2 linked regions of the Danio rerio genome follow. The protein of the gene in region 1 interacts with the protein of each later gene in a pairwise test. Links are inferred from orthologs where the notes say so. Each region holds a gene or a part of one and is shown on either strand. Other genes may lie near its edges.

The links.
Region 2: the proteins of mybpc3 (region 1) and actc2 interact in a two-hybrid assay, tested with the Homo sapiens proteins (2 studies listed by IntAct). The link is inferred for Danio rerio from reciprocal best matches to the Homo sapiens genes MYBPC3 and ACTC1.

The regions. Positions count from the first base shown.
Region 1 is NC_133182.1:31,885,391-31,895,868, reverse strand, and holds part of mybpc3 (myosin-binding protein C, cardiac-type), read right to left. Parts: intron 4,539-10,478; coding exon 4,269-4,538; intron 2,930-4,268; coding exon 2,759-2,929; intron 1,072-2,758; coding exon 985-1,071; intron 912-984; coding exon 763-911; intron 651-762; coding exon 533-650; intron 1-532. UniProt on the Homo sapiens protein: Thick filament-associated protein located in the crossbridge region of vertebrate striated muscle a bands. In vitro it binds MHC, F-actin and native thin filaments, and modifies the activity of actin-activated myosin ATPase.
Region 2 is NC_133195.1:10,141,903-10,153,059, forward strand, and holds the start of actc2 (actin, alpha, cardiac muscle 2), read right to left. Parts: upstream 5,604-11,157; 5' UTR 5,561-5,603; intron 4,992-5,560; 5' UTR 4,976-4,991; coding exon 4,847-4,975; intron 2,801-4,846; coding exon 2,561-2,800; intron 2,329-2,560; coding exon 2,244-2,328; intron 1-2,243. UniProt on the Homo sapiens protein: Actins are highly conserved proteins that are involved in various types of cell motility and are ubiquitously expressed in all eukaryotic cells.

The sequences.
Region 1 (10,478 bases):
GATAGATGGATAGATAGATAGGTAGATAGATAGATAGATAGATAGATAGATAGATAGATAGATAGATAGATAGATAGATAGATAGATAGATAGATGGATGGATGGATGGATGGATGGATGGATGGATGGATGGATGGATGGATGGATGGATGGATGGATGGATGGATGGATGGATGGATGGATGGATGGATGGATAGATAGATAGATAGATAGATAGATAGATAGATAGATAGATAGATAGATAGATAGATAGATAGATAGATAGATAGATAGATAGATAGATAGATAGATAGATAGATAGATAGATAGATAGATAGATAGATAGATAGATAGACGTTTACAACACTGCAATATATAAAAACACTTTTCCATTTGGAAGTTATTTGGTTTTGATTGAATTATTTAACAGAAAACAAGACTCTCTTTCAGATCTAATTTTGCTTTACTAGTAAATGAACACATTCTGTATGGCTATATATCAAACATGCATATTCTTGTATACATTTTGTCAGGCCTATGATCTGAGTCTTACCATGTACTATGAGGTCAAAATTACAGCTGTCAAACTTGTCTCTAGATGACACCTCACAGCGATAGGCTCCGGCAAAGTTGGCTTTAGCTGCAATGATATGCATCTCAAATGTGTACACCTGAATACAAAAAAAATTAGAAAAAAGTTTGTCACTTATTTTTGATTTCACGTTCTGAAGATATTGAGGAAATATAATAGTTTAGTTTAAATCTGTTTTCCTGTGGTCAGACCTTAGTGTTGCGGTCATAGTGCTCTTTGAGCTGCAGGTGCTTTCCTGACTTGCTGGCCAGATCCATCCACTTTCCTTTGAACCATTTCACCGTGGGCTTCTTCAGCAGAGACTCACCACACACCCGAGCAATGAAAATAATGTTTTCACCTAAATGGGAAGAAAAGATTGTAAGTTTTTCCATTTGTATTCACTTTCAGTTTCTAGATGGACTGTCACTCACCAACATTCACCTCCCCGCTGTGAGGTTTCTCAGTGAAGAGTCCTGTAAGGTCCTGCCTTGTGTCAGGCTGATGACTCTCAGGCAGAGCTTAAAAACAAATAGCAAAACAGGTTTGAAATTCATCTGAGAATTTAAAACTTTGCGATGTCAAATATAAAGTATAGTGACACATTCAGAACATACATAACTAGATCAAAGCAAAATATTTAACCAATAATTCATTCATTCAATAATTATTCATACATTTAGCCTTAGTCCCTGACTTTCAGGGGCATAAAGCTGCTAATGGAATTCAGAAATGCTTCTTTTTAACGACAACAGATGTTATTAAGTGAACTACAGCCAGTTGATTAATATACTCTATACTCGCATCATTATTTTTTCCCCTTTTGTTTAGAGGCAAAATAATTTCTAAGTTATATATATATATATATATATATTCATACACACACACAAACACACACACACACACACATATATATATATATATATATATATATATATATATATATATATATATATATATATATATATATATATATATATATATATATATATATATATATATATATATATATATATATATATATATATATATATATATATATATATATATATATATATATATATATATATATATATATTTTCAGAATGCTTTTTAGATTAAATATGTGTGCGCGCATTCTTATGAATAAAAACAACAACAACAACAAAAAATGCAAGAAAATTTACATCAAGAAGAAAACAGTAGTTAAGAAAGCTAATAAAGGGTGTTTTGACTTCAGGAAAGTTATTAGTTCCCTTCCTTTGGTCCAGAATTTTTTAACACCAGATCTTTGATTCTAAATTTGGTGTGGTTTGCTTTCACACTAATATTTTTACAAATGAACCAGAAATTGTAAACAAAAGTACACATGCTAAAGTCAGCCATCTATTTAGATGAAATTTGCTTTTTGGCTTTGTATTTGCTGTGCAACTATCATCTGCACTGTCCAAAAGAACTGCCTATGACAGACTCTAACTGTAGCTTTGAGGACCCATTCAAATATTGCAGCTTTTGCTCTTATACACACTGTAAAAACAGTCAGCTTTATCATATAGTGTAGTTAACCCAACATTGACTGAAAGTTATCTCTACTCTACTGAAAAGAGTTTTGAACTGTTTTGAAGGTTTTGACTTAATTAAATACCTCATTACTTCACTTAAATGGAGTAAGTTTACAGTACTTATAGATTATCTTTTTTTAACTCAAAAGGTTTGTAGCAATCGGTTTCCTCAAACGGTTTAAGTCGTCTTAATTTATTGGGTTTTACAGTACTCAGTTGGTTTGAGTTCTCTTCATTTATTGGGTTTTACTGTGCTCAAATTGCTTCTTTTACTTGAATAGAGTGAGTTCACAGTACTCATTTGGATTAGTTTTTGAATTTTTAGATGGTTTAAATGGTTTATTGCAATCGGTTTTTATCAAATAGTTTGAGTTACCTTAACTTTTTGGGTTTTACAGTGCAGTATATTCTCTGTTTCAAATGTAGATGTGCACAAATAGAGTGCAACATGGTTGGTTGTAACACATTTCGGTTATAACGGTAGACTGGTTACCAAACACAGAAAAGCCGAATAAAGTTTCACACCAAAGTGAAACAAACTTGAGTTTGATCCAACCAAACTAAACAAGACAGGTGTGAATACATCCAATGTTATCAAAGATGTGGATATGTTTGCACAAGTGAGAACATGAGTAAACTTTGACTCTGTGTGTGTTTTTGTATCCACCTTCAGGTGCGACTCCATCCGATGGCGGTCCAGTGCTTTCTGGTGCTGAGTTTTCAGTTGGGGCTGGTGGAGGCTCTTTGGGCTCAGGTTTGGATTCTTCAGGTTTAGATTCTTCAGGTTTATGTTCCACTGCTGCAGGATCCGGGGATTTGGCTTTTTCCACTCCCTTTACTGCAAAAGTGCAAAAATCCTTAAAATGACTATCCGACAACATGCGATAAACAATCAGTCATGTGGCTCAGAGAAGTTTCACTTTTGACAGCTGATGAATAATAAAACAAGTCCCTGTAGCCATACATTACTAATACTTTATTTAAAAACTATCTGGACCCAAGTAAAAATCAAACCCTTTAGGGGCTCTAGAGGATAGTGATTTAAACTTAAAGTTGAACTTTGTTACAAAATTCAGAGGCTTACATTTTTCACATGAAATACCCTCAAAGACATTTTCAGTCTATTAATGAACATGATTGTGCTTGTAATGGTTTTCTCTTGGATCCTTTTCTGCTTTGATATTGCTCTCTTTGCAAATCTAATGACCATACAAATTAGGACTCAGTCTTGCTTTCATCCTCTGTTGTGCTTTGAAAAATAGCTCTAAATACTGAATGTATAAATATAGACCTATGCTGAATTGGTAGATGCTTGAAGCTCTCCAAGCAGCGAACAATATACCGAATTATGTCTACAGCAGCAATGGATTATATGAACAATTGACCAAATTTAATTAAGTAAATCTCACTGTAAAAACTGTGCAATTCCTTCATGTCAAAACAACTTGATCGAGTCTGTTTCCCAACCCTGTTCCTGAACGCACACCAAAAGTAGACATTTTCAACCTCTCCCTAATCAAACACATTTGAATTATCTCATCAGAACATTAGAAGAGACTCCAACACCTGAAATGAATGGGTCAAATAAGGGATGTACTGTTAGTGTGCCCCCAGGAACAGGGTTGGGAAACACTGGATTAAGTTAACATCATTGTTTTTACAAATTTAAGTTGAATGAACGTAATACCCCCTTAAGTATTGCTTTTTAACTCATTTTAAAAAAGTAAATTAAACAAGTAGCAAAAGTTAAAAAGCTTTTTTTCTTCTTAAACAGATGTCTTTTTGTACAAGTATAATTGTGTTCAATTTGTTTAGTTTGACAGCTATATTTTAGTGCGACCACCTAATCTGAATATATCAGGCTAGCTAATCATGTATTTAATTTATTTTGCACAATGCAGGAACAAAAGCTCTATGAATTGACACTAAAAGGCAAATGTTCAAAGTTCTAGTAAGTTTCTGAGAAAACAGCAAGCTGAAAAAAAACTTATAAATAGTGATAACATGCTCTGAGAAAGGTGCTTGAAAAAACAAACCTTTGTGACTAAAAGGTAAAGTAAGACGTAAAAAATGTAAGGAGAACTGGTTATGGTGCTCTGTGACTTTTACAAACAAACCAATGGTGGGGAGAAGGTGAAGTAGATGCAGGAATACGTCGCCATCCAAAAATCACCCACCTTCTGATTCTTTTATCTTTAATTCAAATTTGACCTTTGACATCCCAGCAATAACAGCATATCCCACTGCATCCTCCTGGATGATATTATTTATAGTGAGAGAATGCTTATTGTCCTCTGCTGAGATGGTGTATTTGTGACTGGGTAAGATGTCCTTGGATTCTCGCTGCCATTTCACTTTTACACCTGGCTTCTCAGTTTCAGCTTCAAATATGACTCTTGCCCCAATCTCAGCAGTCTGGGACTTTGGTTTCTTGCTGAAAGCTGAGACTGAAGGAGTGAGGGAGGTTCAAAAGCAAAGCATGAATTTACCAAACCTTAATCTCAAGATCATTTATATATGACATTTAAACCTTAGTGTGCACCAAACATTTCAAGTCCAGAGGTCTCAGTCTGCTTGTTTGATGTGCATTGATATGCAATCAGAATCAGAATCAAAAGTTTTATTGCCAGGTGTGTTTACACACACGAGGGATTTGTTTTCATAACAGAATTTTCCACAGTGCAACAAATTGACAGTGAAAGAACAAAAATTTAGATAGAAATGTTAAAAATAAGAATCAACACATTTGACAAACACATATACAGTATATTATTATATAAAACATCGTTTGTATGGTTACATTATGTGCAAATTAAATGTTAACTATATGTGTGCTGTTTATAAAAATAAAAAAATAGGTGTATTTGTGTATAAATAGTGTTTGTTCATGCAAATGGCAGCATTCACACTTCACATCGCACTAAAAGAATGATCACACCAGAGTTTGTTTTCACCAAACCATGCACACTCTGGTGCAGCTCTACTGAGATATGAACAAAGACATCTAAACGCCTCCAAAACAGGATATGATGTCAAAACATGCAACCATAATGCTAAAGCATCCATGTTTTTTTCTTGTAATAGTTATGATGTTGCCAAGCACAATTAAATGACGGCAGAAACACATAACAGATCTTCATTTGTGTGTTTGTGACTTTATTCTTGATTTGATATTGAGTCATTTATCATTTGTTTGTTTTGTATCTATACAAATTTAACTAAGCTCTTGAGCGTGAACACTTACTGTACATATGCCTTAAGATTTTGTACCATCAAGTGAGATGTCTCAGATAACAAGTAGATGAATATTTTGTTTTCAAATGAAGGGCAGGAAGTAAAAAACTGAATGGGAGACATGAGGAAAGTCCATATTTTTGCGATTTATACCATATTTCAAAGGAGATATAAATAGATAATAACCACATAAAATGGGTATGGTCCTTATATCATGAAGCGGGCCGAGTTTTCTACTGAACTTAAATATATTGGCCTGCCATCGAGGCGGTACATACTGTATGAGCTATTAGGTTACATGAAAAAACACTAGTGTTAATACTATAGCGGTTGGAAGCATACTACAGACCATTTTGAGGGATGTAAACAATAACAATAGTCCTAACGTATTTGTTTTACATTTTTAATTTCCATGGGTTCTGAGAATCCTAAATGATCCACATATTGATAAACATTGTTAGGACAGCTGTTTTAATGTTAAGATGTAATAGAATTTCCTCTTGTTACAGTTATTAAAACAGTTTGACAACAAGCAGGAAATGTTCATGGCATCACCACATTGAAATGGTCTATATATTGATAATTACTTGTATTGAACTGTCTTAGTAATTATATTGTTGTTGTGGTACGACACATCTGTAGTAACAAACAAATTATTTAATAGGCTTCAGTTTCTATATTTATACACCATCACAATGCACCACAGTTTACACTAACATTACAGTATTTATTACCGTTTACTGTGCTACAGTATTCGGTAGCATTCATTAACAAAGAGCCGTACACCTTATACACTTAACTATGTAGTTCAAAAACATGTTTATTATAAATTACGATAAGTTTTCCCCAAGTGGATATCTTCCAGACATCAGGAAACAACCGATGAAAGCATACAAAAGCCCAGACGCATACTCTACATTACTATTTATTTTTGTAAGGGGGAAAAGTGCTCCACAATAATAACCGTCTAGTTTTGTCAATGAACTTACCACGAACAAACATTCATCGCTGCTGCAAATAGACGTTAACATTACGGTTGTTTATTCCATCAAAATGCTAGTAAAGAGATAAATTATTGCAAAACTAGACAAAGATTTTATTACAACGATTTCATGGCAGGGTTCTCTTGGATTTTGTGTGGTGGTGTTTGTATCTGACTTTTATCAGATACAGTTTCTTGTCCCCCCTTCGTTTATAAGCAAAATCCTTTGGAAGTCTATATAAAAGGCGTTCTGCATTTCTTATTTTGGCCGATTTAAACAATTAGAAACAACATAAACCAGAAACATTTAAATGTTCTGATAGCGATTCCTACATAGAACATTCACTACCTGCCTTCCATCTGAATTTAGCACGTCATTGATAACGTTATGTGAAAACAACCTATAGCGGTGAGGAACAGTAAACGTGAAGGTTCTGGACTGACTTTGTGGCTCTCTGTGAAAACACATTAAATTGAAGCTTACTTACTGATCTAAGGCTTATAAAAGGGATGCTGACTTGTAAAAGCAAGTGGAATAGGAGAGTGTATGTCAGCTGTATAAGTATCTATGTCAAGCTTTAGTTGATCTAGTAACCAGTGTGGTGCTTGTAATTGTGGGCCCTATCATACACCCGGCGCAGTGTGGCGCAAGGCGTGGCGCAATAGTCTTTTGGTAGTTTCAGCTTGGCGCAAGAGTCGTTTTGAGGCAGCAAATGCATTAGCGCTCATTTGTGCGCCCATAGGCGTTCTGGTCTAAAAAGGGAGGCGTTCTGAGGCGGACCGCTGGCGCTTTGCTATTTTGAGAAACTATAATAGGTTTTTCATTAGACCAAAACAAACCCGATCTAAACTCCGACGCACAGTTGCGCCTCGCTTACGCACTACTTAATACGCACAAGAGAGCAATAGGCAAATATCTTTACATATGAAAAAATTTAAATATTAAGGATATATATAGGATATAATAAAAATAGATATAGGACATAAATATAAAGGATTAAAATATTACAAAACATATTATTTTCTAGCCTACATAAATATGAAAAATCACTGCTTTTATGTCTTCTTCATCTCGGGAGGCTTTTTCAGTTCATTCATAACAGTTTGCTTTTGTATAATGTTATTATTATTAGCAGTATTATTTATTATTTCCAAATTTATATTTGTTTTATTAAAAACAAGCTTAGATTTGCCCACCTGCAGGTTTTAGACCATATGGGGCACAGCATGTGTTTTAGGATATAACTCAGGTTTTTGAGCACATTTTGTTATTATTGTTTATTTATTCGTTTGCTGGAAATTATAACTGAATTTAGAAATAGTTTTGAAACGAATATTTGTGCTTAACAAACGCAATTATTTATTTATAGACTAATTGATGTCTGTGCGTAAAGGTTTCCCTATCCAAGAGTGAATGTGAAAGTAGTTCCATTATCTCTTATTCTCACGCAGTAGATGCTCTGTTTAACAGTTTTCTGTTAAAAAACTGTTAACTGTTAACTGTTTGCTAGTGAAATGCTCATTTTTTCCACTTAGACTTACTTTGCGTCCTGTAAATAGCGAATGCGCTCTTGGCGCGATGCAGCTGGCTCTTAAAGGGAATGGGAGATGAGACTCTAATTGGTTTATTCTCAAAACACACCTATAACTCATTAAGAAAATAAACTCAACCCTTTTAGACCATGTGCCATGGCGCAAAGCAGGTTTTCCCGTCCTTAAATTAGCAAAAATGTGTTCTGACACGCCCTGAAAGCATTTGCGCCCTGCGTTTTGCGCTCTGCGCATGCACCGTCAAAATAGAGCCCTGTGTCTTAAATCACAAATAGTAGGTATGTAGTTTGTAACTTGGTTTGCAACCATCAAAATAGTATGTTCTAATCATTATTTTAAATGTGTGTAATTCAAATGAAATTTTGATGGACTACATCTGACATTTTGCTTCTGTCATGTGACCTACATCTCCAGTTGCCTTGCTTTATTGTCCATCATAAATTCACAAAGTTAAGTGTCTGTTGTATGAGCACTTAAGAATTTCGCCAGACGTGTTAAGTCAGTTGAGTACTTTTTTGGGGGTACTTTTTCATGATTAGTGTGACATATTACTCAATGCTATTCCTTTTTAAATGCAAATTCTGTAAAAATGTAACAAATATTTGTGACTCGAGTCATACTGAAAAACGTAAAACATAGTTTTTCTAGCATGTGATATCAACTTAAGAAATATTTAGTACACTGTTTTTCTTTTTAACACTTGAAGGCGTTGCTGGAACTTGATCTTCATATCTATTGTTACACACATGCCTTAAATTATTAACTGCTTATTCATTGCTCTTTCTTGTAGTTGGAGTCACACATCTTCAATCACATCGATGCAAATGGTTCAAGCATAAAGCAAGCCAAGCCTCTGCGCTTAAAAATAGAGTGCATGTGCTCTCCATTGAGAACTGCGGTCCACGTCGACACAGCCACAGGTAGCTGCTAGATGGATTAGCTAGGATCTATTTTTGTTGTTGTTATCAAGCACTGGTCACTCTTTTGCCATTTCAGAACCGCTGGTATCTACATTGCCTTTGTTCCACACTACTAATGTCTGGATAGATGCAAGCAGTGACAGTCAACTAATGATGAATATGTGGTAAATATGCTTTGAACTGGAGGCATGAAAGGTAATAATTTTCACAGTCATAACGTGTCAGCCAGCGGTCAGTGGAGATCGTCAATGGGATGGGAAACTTTCTCATGAAGGTGACATGTTTATGTCCGTCACAAAGGTTACATTAGATGCTGATGGTTGGCGTCCAAATATTGACATCCTGGTGTGTCTAACACTCAAGAGTATTTAAAACAAAATCTGCCATCTGTTAAATCAAATTAAACTATCTTTGAGAGGTGTAAAGATGCCTTAAGTCTAGACTATAGCAATCATTCTCAACTTATTGGACCTGCTTTGTTCATATATACCCTATATGATGGTATATGAACCACTGGTATTTTGGTAGCCATGAAAATAAACAAGTATGTCATGGTGACTTCATTGGTTTTAAATCATTTTTAGACTTCTTGGGGTTCCTCTGGAAGCTTGCAGAGGCCCTCTATTTGGCCCCTGGTTTAGAACCGCTGGTTTAGAGCCTCTGAAATCCACCAATAGGGAAGAGAAAGTGTGAAGCTAAAATGACTACATGGATTTGGTTACTACCACTAAACTTCATTGCTTAATGCCGAAAAGTGATGCAACAGCATTGTTAGCATGCTCTTGGTCTTAGCGAATATCGCCACAGTCGGCTGTCACGAAACAGGTGGCATCACATTATTGCAATCTTTTAATTCCTGCGTAGGCAGGGTTATTTTCTCTGCACTTTTGGAAAAAAGCCCTTCAGCCCACGGCCATTATTCTATCACGTAAGCTTAGATACGATTTAGCAGTTTATACTAAGGATACTTTCAGTTTAAGTAGTTGCATGTTACAATTAAACACCTAATAATATTAATTACATATTAGATATAAGGTTGCACTATAATTTACAGTATATGTCTTACTGTGTACTTAAAGGTACGTAAATTAGTGGGTCATGCAAGGTACCATGGAATCAGGGGTAGGTTTAGAAATAGTGCCGAGTTATAGTACCCAGTTTTGTAATAACTAGTATAAGTATGCAGTATGTAATGTTTATATGCAAAACAGGACTGTAAAATAAAGTGCTAAGAATAGGGTTTGATTTAATGTTAGTGGCTTGTAATCACACAAAATTAGCTGTTTACTTTAGTTGCTAAATGTAAAATATGCAACAGGTCTGTTGTTAATATGTTTCTTTGTTTACAGTGCAATTTGTGCGAGAAAAACAATGCACAGATGCTTCATATATACAGTTGGCTTAGAAACAACAGCTGCAGAATGTAGTACAGTGTAAAGGAACATCCAGACAATGTTATGAAAATACTCATAGATCAAACTGATACTGCTAATTTTTACCTATATATTAAATTAGTATTTCTTATTATTACACCAAAAACCAAAGACACAGGAGCTGAAGTCGTATAAAAATAAAGTACAAATTGAAAAGTGCTTTTAAAGTTGTGATAAGGTCAGAGTTTAGAACAGAAATGTTACTATTTACTCAACCAACAATACAAAACCAATCTATTATACATGTGTTTGTCAGATAGAATCTAC
Region 2 (11,157 bases), on another chromosome or scaffold:
TTGAGAAAACAGCTGTTTTAGAAACTTCAAATGTTCAACAACCCTTACAGTATTATATGTCTTAACAATAAAAATGAAAAAAAAAAAATCTTTATAGACCTGGACCAAACCCTGGCTGGCCATGTCATAACCTAACATGCTAACCACTGTACCACAACAGCTGTACATTGAATAGTGACTTATCTTGTTATATCATCATTAACCTGCAGGCTGCATCTTGCTCACGAGGCTACGAGAAAATAGATAAAAAGAGCAGAGCTTCTGTAAAATAATAAATAAGAAGGATGTGGTCAAGTAAATAAATAAATTATATTTAAATAGTGTAACTGCTGAGAGCAACAGATTCTGGAGCTAGGGACACCGGCCCTCTAGGCCAAAAAATGGACCGGCCCTCCGGGAATTCTCCTGGTCCTCCCGATTAGCCAATCTGGGTCTGCTTACAGCTCTAACTCTAACAAGAATGAAATATTGAGAAGTAGAGGGATGTTCGAGAACTTGTCCCAGGGATGGTACAACGGCTGCAGCATATGTGATAATCAATAGTGGAAAGAGTACTGAAAAATCATACTTAAGTAAAAGCACTTTACTTGCCTAAAAATGTAGTGCAAGTAGAGTAAAAGTAGCCTTTTTCAAAAAATACTCAAGAGTAATAATGAGTAGTGAGTATTTCGCTGTAAAAAGCTGATGCATTTACATGTAATTTGTGCATGTGTGTAAACTTAATATTCTGTATTGTGTTTAGTTATTGCCCAGCAGGAGGCACACAACGTCATAAGATGTTAATATTACAGTAGTTTAGATTTAAGTTCTGTCGGGTGACCAAAATTTGATGTCTAGTCAGCATCTAAGGACAATGTTATTTTGACGTCCAATAATGTCATTAAACCACATTGATATTTGGTTGATTTTAGGTCAGTGACCAAAATCCAAAGTCGATCCAACATCTTAAACCAGCAACATATTGACATTAAATACTGACATTTATTCATCAGGTATAGCATTCAAAATCCAACGTCTAATAGAATTTATAGTGGTAACGTCTACATAACGTAAAGCTATAACATCATCAGATGTTGATATTTGGTTGGTTTTAGGTTGGGCATTGACTTTGGCCTGATGTTGAGTTCTGAAGTCAACCCTATTTTTATTTCCAAAAAAATGCAACATTCCCATGATGTTAGGGTACAACGTCAAACTTGTGCCTGTTGGGTGTTTAAGGCCATTTCGTCAACATACAGTAAACATCCATCATCTTCTCATCAGTGACCAGTCTCTGGATCAATGCATGTAAAGATTTTGGGCATCTTCTTGGACACTTTTACTGCTTCCAAAAGGTTTGCTGCATTTATAAAGCGCCCTTGACTTGAGGTAGTACATTCTGAGGTGATTTATCTTCTATGTGCGCTCTGATTGGACTTTAATTACAGGACTGACTTTGCTAATTCTCATAGACAAGTAATAATGAAATAGTGACTGCAGATTGAAGGAAAATAATTCTGTAAAAGTACAGACACAGCACTAAAAATATACTCAAGGGAAAGTAAAAGTACACATTTTTAAAACTACTTAATAAATTACAATTCCTTGAGTATTTGTAATTAGTTACTTTACACCACTGATAATAATTTACAAGTTTAAAATTGAATTTCATCAAATTGAAGGCATATATGCATATTTGGCATACTGTAACAGAGGACGGCTCTAAGTTTACATTTTTGGCTTGAAGCCAGAGTATATTGAGTGCTGCTTGAAAACTGTTCTGGGACAGAAGTGAATTAGCTATGTTTATGTATATAGATCTCAAATCATGCTGGCTACACAATCTAAACATCTTCCTCCCAAACTTTGTCGAAGTCATTTGATCCGACTGAAGAAGTTATGTCGTTCCATACACAATCTTGGAACTTAGGTGTCATTTATACATATGCTTCTTTTAAAATAAATGTTATTTTATAAAGCAAGCATTTCCAAACTAAAGCAGGGTCATTATCAGTATCAAAGCACTCCATTTTCGCAGGTTAAAGATGATTGTAAGAAATTTGTATGATTTTTAGAACAGCATGAAAGCCTACCCCTAACATAGGTGTCATCGAGGCATGGTCAAACGAAACTAATGAGATTTCATTTAAATTTGTCACTAAATTAACTACATTTAATATGGTTACTTGTCATGAGATTGTGTTGGTCCTGTGCAATCTTATAAGGAATGTGGTATTTTAGTTCATGTCTTCACAAACACTCACCAGTGGTACGGCCAGAAGCATACAGTGAAAGCACAGCCTGGATAGCCACATACATGGCCGGAACATTAAAGGTCTCAAACATGATCTGCAAATTAAACAACACAAACAACAGGTTAAGTCATTTAAGTATTTCTGCATCATTTTAAGTTTGTAGAGTTGTTGCTAGATGCTAGAGGCTATGATCTTTAGCCTCCTTGGTAGAGCAACAGACCCTCATGCAGAAGGTCGCCTGTTCGATATCAGCTCGAAGCGGGTTGGGTGGTGTAAGACCGTCGGGGTTACACATGCACATTTTAAAGATTTTCAAGCAGGATTACCTGTGTCATTTTCTCTCTGTTGGCTTTAGGGTTAAGTGGAGCCTCTGTGAGCAGCGTAGGGTGTTCCTCAGGGGCCACACGCAGCTCATTGTAGAAGGTATGGTGCCAGATCTTCTCCATATCATCCCAGTTGGTGATAATGCCGTGCTCAATCGGGTACTTCAAGGTCAGGATGCCTCTCTTGCTCTGGGCCTCATCACCCACGTAAGAGTCTTTCTGTCCCATACCTACCATCACACCCTGTTCAGGACAAGATGATGTCAAAAGTTCAGTACATACAGTATTTGCATTATGCATTTGGCAACAACATTTATTCAATACAACTAATGGTATATAGAAGGGAATCAATCACTTGACCTTGGCTATGTGTTCTACTGTTAAACTAAATTCATTGTAGTCTCAGCACTAGCTGACAGCTTAAAACTGGCATTATGGCAAACCCCTCATATGGAAGAAAAATCCATATAACTAAAAAAACGCATTAACATGTATTATGATCAACCTCCTGGAGTGTTTTTATTCTTTATCAAATATTTCCCAAGTCTTATATTCTTATACTGTGAAAAATTCCTTGCTCTGTTAAACATCATTTGAGAAATATTTTAAAAAGAAAAAAAAAGTATTTAAAATTCAAAGGGGGGCTAATAATTCTGACTTCAACTGTATATATTTATTTTGGAGAAAGTTTTGTTTCTTTTAGTTTAGCTGGAATAAATATATATTTTTTATTTTTAAATGAAAGTCAAATGTATGTTTAAGGCATGTTTAAATTAAGGTCAATATTATGAGACTTCTCAAAAAAAAATATTTTTTTTTGTTGCAGAACAAACCATGTTTGATCTGCCTAATTAACATAACTTGCCTATTAACCTAATTAACCTGGTAGGTTACAACAATGCTTAGCGAATGTAAAAAAAAAAAAAAAAAAAAAGAAAGAAAAGAAAATTAAACTGCCTAAAAAGATCAAATAATAAATCTAACTTTCAAAACTACAAAACTGCTCAAACTATCAAATAATAAATCAAAATTCATTCTCAAACGAGAAATCAAATGTATTTGATATTTAATTTTCATGAACAACTAAAAATCCTGTAAGATTTCAAAAACGAGTCAAATGCTCAAACTATGATTCAAATAAAGGAACCAGTTTCCTGATCACATACACAGCTGGAAGTTCATGATGGACTACTTATTAGGACACCATTTACAGACTCTTGGCTGAGTCTTGTTTTTTTTTCCCTGTGAGTCATTATAAAGCATTTTCCCTGTTTGTCCTGCCATGTTTTGATCCTTGTCTTGTTTACCGTCATTGTTTTTTTGCCTCCTGTCTTGTTTCTAATAAATGTTTTGTTAACATTTGTCTCTGTTTTTTTTTTTCCCCATAATGTAATACTTTTCATTTAAGACATTTTAGATCAGTGCAACTGATGTTTTCAAAAGTCAAGTAAGCAAGAAAAAGTGAAAGGAAATATAGATTGAGTTTTTTTTTTTCTGTTCACTCAACTTCAGGCATTCGTTTTGTAAAAAAAAAAAAAACATTTTCACTTGGCACAGTTTAAATGGTTTTGTTATAGCGTAGCTGACCTCTCCAAAAAACAAATAACCTTATGTTACCCCAACAAAATGTTTTTTTTGTAATACTGACAAAAAATTTTAGGTCAGTGCAACTGATATTTTCAAAAGTTGAGGAAACAAGAAAAAATTAAAGGAAATAAGGATTATGTTTTTTTTGTACTAGTCAGTTAGTTTTGCTGTGTTTTTCTCCCTGCGTTCGCGTGGGTTTTCTCCGGGTACCCCCACAGTCCAAAGACATGCGGTACAGGTGAATTGGGTAGGCTAAATTGTCCGTAGTGTATGAGTGTGTATGTGTGAATGTTTCCCAGAGATGGGTTGCGGCTGGAAGGGCATCCGCTGCGCAAAAATGTGCTGAATAAGTTGGCGGTTCATTCTGCTGTGGCCACCTCGGAATAATAAAGACACTAAGCTGACAAGAAAATGAATGAATGAACCTGCATGTGTTGCTAATGGTTTACACTCTGTAAATTACTTTCAAGTTTCCTACATACATTTTTTTTCTATAAGAAGTCTCAAGGTTTCAATGTATATGTTCATAAAAATGATGCAGAACAAAACACATTGTGATGTATTTCTTTACATGAAGTGATCCATAACCAATAGGGAATGGAAAAGAGTCCAGACCTTGTATGTGTGAAGCTCTGGCTAAGTGAGACTAAGTTTAATGAAAGTATAATGTTGCTATCTTGCATTAAGAAATAAACATTGTACCTGGTGGCGAGGACGACCAACAATGGAGGGAAAGACAGCACGAGGAGCATCATCTCCAGCAAAGCCAGCCTTCACCAGGCCAGAGCCATTGTCACACACAAGAGCAGTGGTCTCATCGTCATCACACATGGTGTCAGCTGGGGTTCTGGGTGAAGATCAGACACACAACTGTTAGAAAATTCTGTGAACATACATGACAGTTTGTTTGCATTCCAGCCAGGGTTGTGTTTTCACTTCATTATAAATCATATTGATCTAAAACAATTGTCATTAATGACTCTATGATTTAATGTCCATAAAATGTCTTCATTGGATATTATTATTTTGCTGATATATGAATAATTATTTGACTGTGTAACAAAATTAATCATACTATTGTATTGCTGCAAAAAAAAATAAAAAATAAAAAATCTTATTGGGTCTTTATTTTTAAGAGAGCAGTTTAGTAATTCATGCTGCTGACATGCTTGTCCTTGATTGACTTCTCCTCATAACAAGGTTTTAAAAGTAAGAAAATTAAAACTTCACTAAAATTCAAAGTCAGCAAAGTATTCTTAACTGGCAACTCTAAGCCTCTGAAAGGTTTGTTTAGCTCAAGTCAATTACTTGCATTGTAATTCCAGCCATATAACTGACCTAGTTTAAATCCTAGCATTCAGAAGATCATCCCATTAAATGAAGTCTGACATTTCTGAAAGCTTTAGCTGTACTTACCAGATCAGCACCAGGAGCTGGTTCCCTTGGAGAGTGAATGGTAGAAAGCGCCTTGAGTCACGGCCAATTTATAGACACTGAGTGGCCCTGGGTCGCTGGACTTCCCTCTCCATATTTGGTAGCCCGAGCGCCATTGAGAGCGGAGTGGCCATGAATGGAAGGGCGCAGAGAGGAGAGCCCGAGACCCGCGCTAGGCTTTTCGTCCTGCGCCCATGTATGGAGACTTGGAGAAAGACGCGGAAAGGCATCGCAGGGGGCGAGTGATGTCATTATTAATCAACGCGGAGCACACTGAAATACCATAGAAATGACATCCCGTAAACTCTGCATGTCATAGCCTATATATACATTTGAAGTCCGAATTATCAGCCCCTTTTCTTTTTTGAATATATCCCAATTGATGTTTAACAGAGCAAGGGAATTTTCACAGTATGTCTGATAATATTTTTTTTCTTCTGGAGAAATTCTTATTTGTTTTATTTCGGCTAGAATAAAAGCAGTTTTGATAAAAAAAAAAAAAAAACATTTTAAGTTCCAAATTATCAGCCTCTTTAAGCTATATTTTATAGTCAACAGCAGTGGTTCTTAAATTTTTTCATCAAGTACCACCTCAGAAAACCCTTCAAGTACCAAAATAATAAGCATTATTGAAATAAAGTAGCGTAGTGGGCACAGTGAAGCAGCTACAGCTCTGTACAGTTCAACAATGAGTCGGATTATTTTTTATTATTAAGAGTATTATTGTCAGCCACTTTAAACATTATAAATTGTTTAAACATTAACACTGTAATGTGCTTATACGTAAAAAAAAAAAAAAAAAAAAAAGTCAAATTTTAATTTAAATTGTGCTTTTAAAAGTAAAAAAATGTTAGGTTACTATTCTTAAAGTTAAAAAAAAAACTGTACTTAAATGTGAAGTATAACACTTAGAAATATAGGCTACATGTCATCATATTCATATATAATCATTTTTTATACATTTTTAATATATGTATCTACATATGACATATTTGATTCCTCAGCGTATCTAATGAAGCCCACATACCACTTGTGGTACACGTACCACAGTTTGAGAACCACAGGTCTACAGAACAAACCATCATTATACAAAAACTTGCCTACTTACCCAAACCTGCCTAGTAAACCTAATTAACCTTTAAACCTTAAAATGTCACTTTAAGCTGTATAGAAGTGTCTTGAAAAATATCTAGTCAAATATAATTTACTGTCATCATGGCAAAGATAAAATAAATCTGTTATTAGAAATGAGCTAATAAAAAAAATATGAATTATGTTTGTCATACACACTGAAATTGGGCACAAAATAAACAGGGGGGCTAATCATTCTGACTTTAACTGTATATAAATCATACAACACGCTCTTTAAACAACAAATAATCCACCATTTACACTAAATGTTGTCTTTTTAATTTCGAAATGAAGATGAATTCTAAGGGTATAAAGGGTTAAAAAGAGAATTGTATGTAAAATAATACTATAGTAATGTGTAGGTTATATAGTATACTGTTTTTAAGCCATACAGTTTGTTATACTGTATATATTATAGTACTCAGAATTTACAGCACTTGGTTCAGAATACTGTAACAATAGTGAAGTGATACACTGTAGGTACTGTTGTGTACTTTAGTTTTACTAGTGTATTGTGGTATAATATACACTAAAGTTGGAGAAAATGCAGTACATTTATTGAATTTCTTTTCAGCTTAGTCCCTTTTTAATCTGAGGATGCCACATCGGTCGCTGTGGCTTGAACTATCTATCTATCTATCTAAATTCATTTTCTTGTCGGCTTAGTCCCTTTATATATCCGGGGTCGCCACAGTGGAATGAACCGCCAACTTATCCAGCAAGTTTTTACAGCTGCAACCCATCTCTGGGAAACATCCACACACACATTCACACACACACTACAGACAATTTAGCCTACCCAATTAACCTGTACTGCATGTCTTTGGACTGTGGGGGAAACCGGAGCACCCGGAGGAAACCCACGCAAAGGCAGGGAGAACATGCAAACTCCACACAGAAACACCAACTGAGCCGAGGTTCGAACCAGCGTCCTTCTTGCTGAGAGGCGACAGCACTACCTACTGCGCCACTGCCTCACCATCTATCTATCTATCTATCTATCTATCTATCTATCTATCTATCTATCTATCTATCTATCTATCTATCTATCTATCTATCTATCTATCTATCTATCTATCTAAAGTCAAATATCATATCAGTATGTGATCTGACAATATAAATGTACAAATGCCCTATTCAGACCCTATTAAGTCTTTCATCCCCTATTGGTTCTCAAACTGTGGTATGTGTACCACCAGTGGTACACAGGCTTCCTTCAAGTGGTACACGGAGTAATAATTATAGTAAAAAAAAACAAAAAACACTTTTAACCCTTTGGCGCGTGCAATAAATTGATTTTAATAAGCTAAACCTTTTATTTTATTTAAAATTTTCTGTTTAAAGCTAATTTCCTCCCTATATTTGTAATGGTTGTTGGGCTTGTATTTTTATATCCCAATGTTGACAGATATAATCACTTGCTTTTCTGAAACTAATAGCCTACTATAACGTGCAGTAGGCAGATCTTATTTCTAATTTAAATATGTAAATCCAATTCATGTATCTGAAATACAAGTTAATGTTTAGATTTCAAAGAAATGCAAATATGTTATATATACATGCAACATATTTTAAAATTTATTTATTTAGAGTTTATATATGAATATGATAACATATAGCTTATATTTATAAAAGGTTTTGATAAATAGGATACTTTATGATAATACTTTACATTTAAGTACAGCAGATTTCTTTTTACTTTTTAAGAACATTTTTTAAATAACTTTTTTTAATTGTACCGTAAACTGAAGAACATCTCTACCGTATTTTTAACGATAGATTTCTGGCAACCACAGCTGTCAGTTTTTTACCGTAAAATTTCTGTTTCACTTACATATACCGTAAACTGAAAAACATCTCTATCCTATTTTAATGATAGATTTCTGGCAACCAGAGCTGCCAGTTTTTTACCATAAATTTTATGGGTTTTTTTTATATACTGTGTGTTTTACCTGTAAGCACAGCGCAGTGTTAATTTTCAAACTATTTATAATGCAAGTGGCTGACAATAATAAACATTCATAATAATAAGAATTAATCTGTTTCGTTTTTGAACTGTGCAGAGCTGTAGCTGCTTAATTAGGCCGGCATTGCTACTGGATTTCAATACTGGTCATTATGGTAATACTTAGAGAGACAATTGTCTCTGAGGTGGTACTTGATGAAAAAAAGTTTAAAAACCACTGCCATAGCAGACACCTTGATATCAAACAATATAAATAAATAAAAACTTGTCACATGTGAATAATGATTTGATATCAAAACTTTAAGTTCTGTTTGACGTAAGGTCTGGGTGTTTCCCAGTTGGAAGGACATCTGCTGTGTAAAACATATTCATTGCGATTCATTGGCAACCCCAGATTAATAAAGGGACTAAGCTGAAAAGAAAATGAATGAATTATTATTATTATTATTATTATTATAAGCTTTAGAGTAATCATCACCCATCTAAACTCTAATGATTAAGTTGCATTTTATTCAAAGTGAGCCGCTCTGATTCTGACTGGCTGCCTTTTTAGGAGCGCTTTAAATAACACCTGAAGTTCCAAATCAGCACACTTGAAAATCCATGTCAAAGACCCTCCACCCTTAGGTTAGCAGAGTTATTATGACGAATAGAGGATTGTTAAAATAGGGATTGTAGAAGCCACATCACTCACCAGCACCGGTGTGCACTGTAAGTATTCAGCCAAAAAATGCTGAGTTGTATTATGGTTTCACCTCATCACTCCTGTATCAGCATTTCGCTTCACTTCTGGATTTATGGAGGTCAAAAGAAAGTGTGTGCTGTGCTGCGATTCCACTGAAACGTTCATTTGCACGACATTGTGTCTCCTAGTAATGATGGTTTCCTCTCATAATGTTCAATTCATCTGATGTAACGTGCTGCTTTTTGAATAATCCCCAACATTCTCTGTCTGAGCATCTGTCAGCCGGCAGGGGCTTAGGGTTTGCTCTATTTGAACTTGTTTCAGTGTTAAGGGGGATTTGGCTGATGCAGAAATAACCTTGATATTTATTTCAACCGCTTGTGGGCAAATATGTCAATGTTTGTGTATATACTGCACAGTTGAAGGCAAAATGATTAGCCCTCTTGTCAAATTGTTGTTTTTTGTGCTGTTAGATGGAGATTTTTTTTTTCGGACACATATTTTTAACCCTCCTGTTGTGCTTACATCACTCTCCTTACGTTAGTGTTCCCTGTCAAAATTGGACGGTCTTTTCACCAGCATGTTTTTAATTAGCATTCTATAGCTGTGAACACTGTCTCAATAGTATTTAACAGAATTTGTAGAATTAGACATAAAATAACTGCAGTGACAATAATAGGCATGAAAATGTATTACAAAAGAAACTAAGTAAATTTGGTAGACAAACTTTATGGTGGCTTGAGAAAGCCTCATCTGAAAGTTGTTCCTGGAGGGCCGGTGTCCTCCAGATTTTTGCTCCAACCTTAATCAAACACACCTGAACAAGCTAATCAAGGTCTTACTATACTTGAAACACCCAGGCAGGTGTGTTGAGGCAAGCTGGAGCTAAACCCTGCAGGGCACTGGACCTTCAGGATTGAGATTGGTTTAAATCATTGAAGTAGTTTTTAAGAAGTTTGAAACAGCTGCCATAGACAGATCATATAGGCTAGCATGTTTCTAGCAAAGAGCTTAGAATGACCAAGAGGCGACACTCAATAGAACGTTCCATTGCAACAGCAGCGCCCAGCAACAGCCCCGGATTCTGCCATTTTGGAGTGAAAGTGATCGGCCGTCGATAGGATCTCATTACTGTCGCGATGGCAAGCAGCTGCTTTGTTTTTTATTAATTTATTTTAAAAGCGCATTAAAGCCGAGATACAACCTGAAAGACGACAATACAACATTTGTTTTCATAATCATCAGCACTTTTAATAGTTTATTTTACAGACTTATAATATGCTGTTGTTCTATTGGAGTTTTCATTCCATAAGGGCCGACGCCCTCTAGTGGCTGTTTCCCAAATTACACTAGAGTGTCGCCTCTTGGTCATTCTAAGCTCTTTGGTTTCTAGTATGGATTGGCATGTTTATTGTTGCTAAGTGGTTGCTTAGGTGTTGCTAGGCGATTGCTAGGGTGTTCTGAGTGATTGCTTGGTGGTTGCTCAGGCATTACTAGACGGTTGCTAGGGTGTTTCGGGTAGTTGTTAAGGTATTGCTTGGTAGTTGCAAGTTGTTGTTATGCAGTTGCTCGGATGTGGTTCCTAAGATGTTGCTAGGTGGTTGGCGGGGTGTTGTGGGTGGTTGCTAAGGCATTGCTAGGTGGTTGCTAAGGTGTTGCTAGGGTGTTATGATTAGTTGTTAGGCAGTTGCTAAGGTGTTTTAAGTCGTTGATAGGGTGTTTTGATTGGTTTCTAGGCGGTTGCTAAGGTGTTGCTTGGGTGTTCTAGGGCATTGCTAAAGGCTGATTTATACTTCT